3 linked regions of the Cricetulus griseus genome follow. The protein of the gene in region 1 interacts with the protein of each later gene in a pairwise test. Links are inferred from orthologs where the notes say so. Each region holds a gene or a part of one and is shown in the gene's direction. Other genes may lie near its edges.

Region 1 (2,928 bases):
TGGGGATCGGATCCCTGGCTTGCCTGTGTAGTACAGAGCTAGGAAGAGGGAGTGGGTGGTGGAGAGGCAGGCAGAGAATGACCAGCACTGTGGCTCCCCCTGTGGGACAGAATGACTGTGGTCAGAATAAAAAAGCAAAGAAGGGAAACGCTTGCCCAGGGGTGGCATAGTGTGTGGACAGACAACTGTGGTTGACCGAGAGGCTAAGGGTCCGGTCACCCCTGTTGGAGACTGGCTGAGATCTTAAAGACGAGGGTCCCTGGGCACTTATATCTTCCTCCTCTTGCTCCTAGGAGGCCCGGGCTATCCTGACCTTTGCTCTGGACAGCGTGGAGCAGAAGCTGCTGATGTCTAACACCAAAGGGCTCTATTCGGATGCCGAGGTACCGTGTGGGGGTAGGGGCACAATCCAAAACCTCTCCCATTGGCATAACAACTTGTCCCAGCTCACAGTGAGCTCTTCTTTACGTCCTTGTTGGGTGGGTGGGTACGAGTCCGGGGCTTAGTTTTTTTGTTTTGTATTGTTTTACGAGACAGGGTTTCTCTGTGGCTTATAAGCTGTCCTGGAACTCACAGAGATCCGCCTGCCTCTGCCTCCCAAGTGCCGGGACTAAAGGTGTGCGCCACCACAGCCCGGCTGGGGCTTAGTTCTTAAAGTGCTTGCCTGGCACGCACAAGGTTTCAAGGCACAAGTTTAATCTCCAGCACTTGGGAGACAGAGGCAAGCATAGCTGAGTTCAGGGCCAGCCTGGTCTACATGGAGAGTTCTAAGCCAGCCAGGGTAACATTGTGAAATCCTGTCTTAACAAGCAAAAAACCAAAAGAGAAGGTTTCTCTATCAATTTTAAAAGAATGCCTGAGTGACAGGATCAGGAAGCAGGGTTCAGCTTTGGATGAGGTGGTACATGTATCTTTAAGGTCCCCAGTCTTCAGCACAGAACAGTGCCATCTAGGATTTTGAGTTACCAAGGGACATGGTTTGGAAACTTGGTCCGTACCTATATTTCTTCTCTGGCCCTGTTGATGGTGGTCAAGATTTTGGTTTTTTGAGATAGCGTTTCTCTGTGTAGCCCTAGCTGCCCTGAAACTCACTCTGGAGACCAGGCTGGCCTCGAACTCACAGAGAACCACCTGGCTGCTGTAAAGATTTAAATCTCTAGTTTCATGGCTCTTCCATTTATTTGGATTGGGCACGGTGGCTTACAGCTGTGATCAGAGCACTTCAGAAGCTGAGGCAGGCAAGACTGCTGTGAGCTCCAGGCCAGCCCAGACTATATAGTAAAAACTTGTCTCAAAAAAGGGAGAGGTGAGGGGCTAGAGAGATGGCTCAGAGGTTAAGAGCACCGACTGCTCTTCCAGAGGTCCTGAGTTCAATTCCCAGCAACCACACGGTGGCTCACAATCATCCGTAACGAGTGCCCTCCTCTGGTGTGCAGATATACATGGAAGAAGAATATTGTATACATAATAAATAAATAAAATCTTAAAAAAAAAAAAAAGGGAGAGGTGAGCTGGGCGTTGGTGGCGCACGCCTTTAATCCCAGCACTCAGGAGGCAGAGGCAGGCGATCTCTGTGAGTTCGAGGTCAGCCTGGGCTACACAGAGAAGCCCAGTGTCAGGGGAAAAAAAATAAAATAAAATAAAACTTCCAGGCTGGGAAGACAATTCTGAAATTAAAGACTTGCTGCCAAGCCTAACCACCTAACTTCGTCCCCAGGACCAACGTGTGAGAGGAGAGAGCCAAGTTGTCCTCTAATCTGCACAGGGCATGCGTGTGCACAGGTGTGTGCGCACACTAACAGGCACGCACACTGTAAATTACATACTAAAAAGAGGAAGCAAACTTAGAGGGCCTGAGGATGTGGCTTTTATTGGCAGAGAGTTTTTTCTAGGTTGCACAAGACCCTGGGTTCCATCCCCAGTGCCGAATAAAAAGCAGGGGTGGTGGTGTACTTGGTAGACTGAGGCAGGAGGATTACTCAGGGCCATTCTGTGTCTGTCTCATCGCAGGTATGCATCACCACCGCCTTTCTGGGGTGGGAGTCAGGAGGTGGTAGAGAAGGAAATAGCCGTTGTGGTGGGGAGTGGTCACCCTGGGCGCTAACTTGCTTCTCCCTCCCCAGCTCCAGCAGTGCCTGGCTGCTGCCCAGGCTGCCTCAGAACACATCTTCCGTTTCTACCGAGAATCACTGCAGAGGCGCTACTCCAAGAGCTGAGACAAGCCAGAGCAAGTCACCCCTCCCGCCACCACGCCCACCGCCTCCAGCTGCCACACGCCAGCACCCCCACTCTACCTCTCTCTGTGCCCATGTGGCTTCCAGTCCTATAGCAGGAGGGGCTCAGGGACATTTCCAGGCCTGGGCACAACCCTCCCATCACCAGGACACCATTAAAGGGCACTCAGCTGTGTTGAGTGAGTAAGTCAGCAGCCAGTGATCGTGATGTCTGGCAAGTGCCCGGTTCCGTAGGCCTGCTGGGTGTGGAGAAGCTGACACTGAACGAGACCCAGGTCCATGTCCCAATGTGAGAGAGAGGCGTGGTGGTATGTGCCAACAGTCCAACCGCCTGGTAGAGCGAGGCCAACTTGGGCTACCCAAGACTGTTATTTATTTATTTATTTATTTATTTATTTATTTATTTAAGGAAGGTGATCTGGCCGGGCGTTGGTGGCACACGCCTTTAATCTCTGTGAGTTCGGGGCCAGCCTGGTCTCCAGATTGAGTGCCAAGATAGACTTCAAAGCTACACAGAGAAACCCTGTCTCGAAAAAAAAAAAAAAAAAAGTGATCTGGAGAGGGCTCAGCAGTTAAGAGTGCTTGTTGCTCTTCCAGAAGACCCGAGTTCAGTTCCCAGCATTCGGATCAGGCAACTAACTCATGACCACCTGTAACTCCAGCTGTTGGGCATCAGACTTCCTCTTCTGGCCTC
Region 2 (3,500 bases), on another chromosome or scaffold:
ATGCCGGCACAGGCGTGTAATCCCAACACTCAGTTTGAGGCAGTTCAATCTCAAATCTGAGGCTAACCCAGACAATTCAGCAAGACTGTTTCAAAAGGTGACATATGGGCCAGTCATGGTGGCACACACCTCTAATCCCAGCACTCAAAGAGTCAGAGGAAGGTGGATCTCTGTGAGTTCAAAGCCAGCCTGGTCTACAAAGTGTTTTCCAGGACAACCAGGGCTACATAAAAAACCCTGCCTTGAAAAACAAAAAACCATCCAAAAGGCTGAGATATGTATAGGTATCCAAATAAAATCGTCATAAACACAGTAGAGCCTGGGCAGTGGGCAAAAGTAAGCAGAGACTGGTGGTTTCTGTATTACTGGGCTGACCTGAGTTCCCCCAAGCTTAGACATCCAGTCCTGCACAGACCCCTGAAGACCTCTCTCTTCTCGGGGGCACAGAGTTCCTGGACTCAGGATAGGGAAAAGCAGCACCGACCTGAGGCCAAATCTCTGCCACCCCTGGTCTGGGCTCTGCACTCTCTCACGGAGCTCCTTTCCTTGCATCCTGCTGCCTGCTGCCTCTCTTCAGGTGGCGTTTGCCTGAAGGCAAACAGTAAAACACAGCTGGAGGCTAACAGTAATCCTATGGGATCCCTCTAAATTCCTAGGCTGGATCCTCATAGACAGATGTGGGAAGCACTTTGGAACCATCTTGAATTACCTCCGAGATGACACCATCACCCTCCCTCAAAACCGGCAAGAAATCCAGGAATTGATGGCTGAAGCAAAATATTACCTCATTCAGGGGCTAGTGAACATGTGCCAGTCTGCCCTGCAGGTATGGGAAGAATTGGGTGACCTAATGAGGTTGGGAATTGTTCCTCTGGGGACATTAGGTTTGGCTCCTGGAAAGCTGTATTGGAAATGAGGTTGATGAGTCCAAACCCAAATAGAACAATGGGGTGCTCCCAGGCCCGAGCAAACGGCTGCTAGATACTCACATTTGGTAGCACAAGCAGGCTGTGCCCCTAGTTCATTCACTTAGATATCCGAGCTTCATATTTTCTGGCAGTGGAGATCTTACTAACTGGCAATGTCTATTACCAAGAACATCATGGTCCGTCTGGTACCTCCTTACCAGGCAGGGGGTGACTGTGGCAAGGCCTGGAGGGGTACAAGATCCTAAAGGCAGCTCTCTGCTCTGTGTGTCACCCAGGACAAGAAAGACTCCTACCAGCCTGTGTGTAACATCCCCATCATCACATCGCTGAGAGAAGAGGACAGGCTCATCGAATCCTCCACAAAGGTACTGGGCACTCTTAGGACCTTGGTCTGGGGACACCAGGCTCCTGGCCTAACCCTTACTCCATCTTCTCCCACAGCCTGTGGTGAAGCTGCTATACAACAGGAGCAATAACAAGTATTCATACACCAGGTATGGCAGGCATCTCTGCTAGGGCGCTGGGGAGGGCGGCAAATGCAGCCAAAGGGCTGAGCAACCAGAGCAGGCGTGGGCAGTGGCTCAAGGGACTTCACAGATTCCCAACACACGTAACATGGGGCTGGGTTTTGAAACCACCTTTGCTAAGGGCAATGAACAGAGATGGAAGGGAACTCAGGACAGAGGCATTTGGGATTTGTTATATAATCCTGGTTGGGATATAAATGATAAAATGTTAATCATGCCTGTAACGTGCCAGGGATTTTAATCCCCATTGCTTTAGTGGATGAAGAGAGGTGCTAGGAAGTCATGGACGGAGTCTTCCTGAAGCTGGTGTTCCTCACTGTGTCCCCATAACAGGCTATGGTTAGGTAGACCCAGGTGGCTGCAGACATGGATCTAGACTCTCCTGGTCCCCTGTGAACCCTGCATCAGCCCACAGCAAAAGAACAGTATACTGAAGTAACAGAGAGGGGCCCTTCCTTCCACGCTTATGAGGGGTTACTTCTTTCTCTCAGTGCTCTCTGCTGAACCGAGAGCCAGTTCCACCCCCTTTCCTCACAAGCCCCAAGTCCTACAGGTTCCTTTCTGCCTCTCTGTCCCTCTGCCTTGTCTTCACTTTAGCATGATAGGGTAGGGGTGGGCAGAGCAGCGTGGAGAACCAGAATGTCCCGGCAGCCCTGCTTGTTGGAACCTCATTCCAGGCCTGCTGGCCCTTTGGTTTTTTCAGCAACTCTGATGATCACCTGCTGAAAAACATTGAGCTGTTTGACAAGCTGTCCCTGCGATTCAATGGCCGTGTGCTCTTCATCAAGGATGTCATTGGTGATGAAATCTGCTGCTGGTCTTTCTATGGCCAGGGTCGCAAGCTGGCAGAGGTGTGCTGCACCTCCATCGTGTATGCCACAGAGAAGAAGCAGACAAAGGTATGATCTTTCCTCTGATAGGGGACAGATCACACAGACTCCAGGGTTGACGACTGGTATTGCTCCAATGCGCCCTTCCCACAGTAACGAAAGGGCCACGTGTACTTTCCAAACCATGGTATGATGGTGCCAGGTAGGACAGAGTCAGAACAAAGGGGTTTGGGAATGGTCAGAAGCTGTTAACAGTTGCTGAAAAAGAAGCCCACTGACCAGCAACCTTCTGGTGCCATGGAAGGACCAGGTCTTTGAAGTTGTCACAACTCAGGTTGCAGTTCTAGTCCCACCACTTCTAGTTGTCTGACTTTGGGGAGCCATTGGTCTGTTTCCCTGCTTGAAGATATGGGAATGAGTCTGAGTCTAGCCAGTACATGGCAAGGGTACCAAAGCAGCACGGTGTGTAGCTTTCCACTTCAACACTGCTCTTACAGCCAGGCTGGCCAGCTGGCTTCCTGAGCCCATGGAATGACATCACAGATGAGCCAGATGTGCCAGATGAGCACAGGGCAACTTTTATTTTTACTTTTTCTTTTTGAAACAGGGTCACAGAAGCCCAGGCTGGAGCTTGCTATATAACCTAGGTTAGCCACAAACACCTGGCATTCCTCCTGCCTCAGCCCACTAGGACTAGGGTTACAGATATAGTTAACTATAATCAGCTGTGTGAATTACTTGGTAGGGGACAATTTATGTAGATTCATCTCCTCCCTTCCTGAAGAGACCAGCAGGTATCCTCCCTAGAATATATACTTGGAGATGGCAGGGTTTTACTGGGTAAAAAGGGGGAATAAAGGGCGCAAGCATCCAGACCCAAGAGCCTTAGCCCCAGACTGCCACATTGCCTCAGGCTGAGTGATCTGCTGAGGGCTGTCCAAAGGACAGCTTATATGAGGTGGCAGTTCTTGGCAGTGGGGGGTAGAGACAAAGATGGCATGGAGTTAGCCAAGAGGCTGTGAAAGTGGAGTCAGGATTCAGGACCTGAGTAACAGCAGAGGTAGCAGTGCCAGTCTTCTTCCTTGGTGCTCTCTTCCTTCTTCTGTGTGCTCCCCTAACCCTCCACACCCCAGCTAGAAGACTTGCCCAGCTAGAACCTTCTCTCCACTTGAGATGAAGGCACAGCAGCTCAGTGTGACAGATGTGCTACAGTT
Region 3 (3,500 bases), on another chromosome or scaffold:
TCTAAGCACATTTCCAAGCATTCTGTACCTGTTCAAAGGTATTTTTCAGTCTGGGCCTAGCTTTTTGTGTGGCTGCATGAACCAAGCCTTAAACAGCCAGGCTACTAGCTGCTGTCTCCTCGCCGCTATGGTAGGAGGTAGGTCCAGCAGGCTGGTTCTGGGCAGAAGGTGCTGTTTGGCTTTGCTTGAGAGCTGAGCCTCATGCCTGAGCGCACAGGCTGAGACTGGCGTTACCAGACCCAGGTCTGGGGAGTTGGTGGTCCTTCACAGGTCTTTCTACCTAGTGTCCTGCCAGGTAGCTTCTTTGGTGGGTTCAGGGGAGTCAGGCATGGCTGGATCCAGGCGTTCCAATGGTGTCATGAGGATGTTGTCTCTCTGTGGCTGGTCGTTGGTTTCTAGGGACCTCGCTCCTTTGCTGACAGAGGGCATGCTGGGGTGTTTGTGTGTGTGCCTCTAATCTAGCAGGCCCATTTTTCCTTTTGATATAGGTCTCACTATGTAGACTAAGCTGGTTTCAAACTCATAGAGATCCTCCTGCCTCTGCAGTACTGGGGTCAAAGGCCATCATCCCACGTGGAGCGGAAAGGCTGGGGGCAGCAGCGTCTTTTTGAGTAGCAGCCAAAATCCAAAGGCAGAATCCCATTGGTGCTTCCCTAAGCCAGTGGGGGGTCTGGACTGATCTGATTGGTCAGCCCGGGTCACATGTCCCTCCCATCGCAGCGATTTCAGGCCATGGAGGAGTCGCACCTGCAGCACATGAAGGCCTTGCTGGGTTCCTATGCTCACTCAGTGGAGGACACCCATGTGCAGATCGGGCAGGTGAGGATGGGCCCCGCCCTCCTGTCCAGCCCCACAGAGGCCGTGCCCCTCATGCCCTCTCCACCCCCCACCCAGGTGCATGAGGAATTTAAGCAGAATGTGGAAAATGTGACTGTGGACATGCTCCTCAGGAAGTTTGCAGAGAGCAAGGGCACCGGCTGCGAAAAGCCTGGTGAGTGACCCTGGTGAGGGCCTCCCTGGCCCTTGGTTTCTTCTTTGGAAAAATAGAGTGGTGGCAGTTCTCTGTCCCCCACCCCATGTAGGGAAGGCATCTGATGGCTGATCTCACATAGTCCAGTCCTAGACACCAATCCCTAAAGGATCATGAAAGTTCAGCTTGGAAACTCCGCTGTTTCTCACTAAGTCTCAAGAGCTGAGGGAGCCATTGATGGTGTTGAGCTTAAGACGCCCTTGTTGAGAGCCAAAGTTTGATAGTCAGACTGAATTTGGGTCCTTTTTCCGTTGCTTGCTGTGTGACCTCAGTTGCATGTCTTGACTTTTTTTTTGTTTTTTTGGGACAGGGTTTCTCTGTGGCTTTGGAGCCTGTCCTGGAACTAGCTCTTGTAGACCAGGCTAGTCTCAAACTCACAGTGATCCACCTGCCTCTGCCTCCCGAGTGCTGGGATTAAAGGCGTGCGCACCCCCGCCTGGCTATGTCTTGACTTCTCTGAGCTTGCTTTCTCATTGATAAAGTGGAGACCACAATCCCCTAAATGCAGGCACACTTTGTTCAAAGACCCAGGTGACCAGGAAAGCTGTCCTTCTTGCTGTTTCTATGTTCAGTCAGCCAGGCCTGACATACCTAGGCCTTCCTCTCACACCCTCCGGCTCCTGTTGTGGAGCCCCGGTGTGCAACTGTGCAGCCCGCTTCTGCCCCTCAGACTTATTTCTTTTTTGCCCCAGGGCCTCTGGACTTTGATGCCTACAGCACAGCTGCCCTGCAGGAAGGCAAGTACGTCTGGGCCTGGATGCCCAGGCTAGACCAGGGTTTTGGAGAGGGATCTGAACAGAAAAGGGGAGAACCTTCTAGAGCTTAGTTGCCCTCCTTCTGTCAACAGCAATGAAGCGTCTCCGAGGAGCCAAGGCCTTCCGTCTTCCAGGACTGAGCCGGCGGGAGCCCCGTGCAGCTGTGTGAGGAAGTGCCCCACCCTAGCTTAGGCTAGCCCAAAATCCTGCCCCTTGTTCCAGCGAGCACAGAAACCCCCTATGGCACTTTCCCTATCTCAGACTGTCCCAGGACCACTTCTCCTGGGCTAGCCCAGAAAGATCTCTGTCCCATGCTAGCCCAAAAGAGCCACTCTCCCAAACTAGACTGGAATTCCTCCTTTTACCCAGGCTGGCCCAGAAGCTGCTTGGCCCATCATAACCTAGGTTGGCCATGATCCCTCCCTTTGCCAAGGCTAGCTATCTGTTGTACTGTTTGAGGCTTTGTCTGACTCTAGAAGCCACCCACATTCCCAGCCTATGGGCTAGCTTGGGGCAATATGGTGGGCATCCTTTCTGGGGACTCCAGCCACTAACCCCTGTTCCTCTGTCCCCAGGGACTTTCTGGAGTCTGATTCAGGGGTGAGTCCTGTGCCGGCAGGGCAATGGGTAGGCGGGACTTGATCTTCAAGGCCCCCGGGAAGAGGGGGCCAGAGGGGCCCAGGGTGGGGCTCCGAATCAGGTCTCACCTGTGTGGTCCCCGTGTGAGGGACTGGAAGCTCTACTGCATCTCAGTCCCCCTTGCATTTGCCTACAACCCTGGAATATATTCTGGTGGGAGCCTGGGTGGACAAGCCGAGGGGTCATTGGAGGGAACCTGACTCCCCCCAGGTGCCTCCAGAGGTGGATGAAGAAGGCTTCACTGTGCGTCCTGACGTGTCCCATAATAATATCCTTCCTTTCTGTGATTCCATGTCCCCCCGGAGAGTCCTACTGTGCACCAAGGAGCTCCAGGTGCAAGCCTTGTCCTGTGCACTTTCGATGGTAGACAGAGGGAGGGTTGAGAGCCAGGCGATGGTGACACACCTCTTTAATCCAGAGGCAGGCCATCTTAGAATGTAAACCAGCCTTTGAGTTCCTGGCTGATCAGGGCTATGCAGAGAGATCCCGTCTCAAAATAAAGGTGGACAAGACAGGTGGACTTTTATGGTGGGCTATCCAGGAAGGCTTCCTGGAGGAAGGGCATCAGTGTGGCTGAACAGAAGCTCCCCAGGTAGCTTCCTGAACATAAGAGGTCAAAACTCACCGTACAGGGCCTCCATGTCCGGGAGTGTGGTCAGATTCAAGACTTGACTCCTTGACAGAGGCCCACGCATGGCCGAGCCCCCTCGATTCTCCTCTAGTGACTCTGATTTTGATGATGAAGAGCCTAGAAAGTTCTACGTTCACATCAAGCCTGCCCCCACCCGCACTGTGACATGCAGCTCAGAGGCTGCAGCTGCCCAGCTCAGAGCCACAGCTGGCAGCCTCATCCTCCCCCCAGGCCCAGGGGTGAGCTGGGTGACTGGAACCAGGGGTGAGCTGGGAGGGGCACAGGGGCCAGCCGTCTGCAGCTGAGCCTCACATTGCTTGGTTTTTTGCTTTTTCCGAAGGGCACCATGAAACGTCACTCATCGAGTGAGTAGCCTGGTCCGTTTGGGTAGAAGGTGCCCTTGGAGGAGAAGCTGGGTCTGGGTGGCTGGAAATTGGGATTGGTT

The links.
Region 2: the proteins of Exosc5 (region 1) and Tnfaip1 interact in binary tests that used the Homo sapiens proteins (3 or more experiments, as listed by UniProt). The two-hybrid records come from large-scale screens. The link is inferred for Cricetulus griseus from reciprocal best matches to the Homo sapiens genes EXOSC5 and TNFAIP1.
Region 3: the proteins of Exosc5 (region 1) and Fcho1 interact in binary tests that used the Homo sapiens proteins (3 or more experiments, as listed by UniProt). The two-hybrid records come from large-scale screens. The link is inferred for Cricetulus griseus from reciprocal best matches to the Homo sapiens genes EXOSC5 and FCHO1.

Annotation. Positions count from the first base shown.
Region 1 is NC_048602.1:9,454,849-9,457,776, reverse strand, and holds the end of Exosc5 (exosome complex component RRP46), read left to right. Parts: intron 1-293; coding exon 294-383; intron 384-2,123; coding exon 2,124-2,216; 3' UTR 2,217-2,428; downstream 2,429-2,928. UniProt on the Homo sapiens protein: Non-catalytic component of the RNA exosome complex which has 3'->5' exoribonuclease activity and participates in a multitude of cellular RNA processing and degradation events.
Region 2 is NC_048600.1:91,917,819-91,921,318, reverse strand, and holds part of Tnfaip1 (BTB/POZ domain-containing adapter for CUL3-mediated RhoA degradation protein 2), read left to right. Parts: intron 1-656; coding exon 657-826; intron 827-1,204; coding exon 1,205-1,294; intron 1,295-1,370; coding exon 1,371-1,423; intron 1,424-2,159; coding exon 2,160-2,355; intron 2,356-3,500. UniProt on the Homo sapiens protein: Substrate-specific adapter of a BCR (BTB-CUL3-RBX1) E3 ubiquitin-protein ligase complex involved in regulation of cytoskeleton structure.
Region 3 is NW_023276806.1:248,082,613-248,086,112, reverse strand, and holds part of Fcho1 (F-BAR domain only protein 1), read left to right. Parts: intron 1-720; coding exon 721-819; intron 820-894; coding exon 895-991; intron 992-1,722; coding exon 1,723-1,767; intron 1,768-1,877; coding exon 1,878-1,950; intron 1,951-2,360; coding exon 2,361-2,385; intron 2,386-2,634; coding exon 2,635-2,692; intron 2,693-3,115; coding exon 3,116-3,294; intron 3,295-3,395; coding exon 3,396-3,420; intron 3,421-3,500. UniProt on the Homo sapiens protein: Functions in an early step of clathrin-mediated endocytosis. Has both a membrane binding/bending activity and the ability to recruit proteins essential to the formation of functional clathrin-coated pits.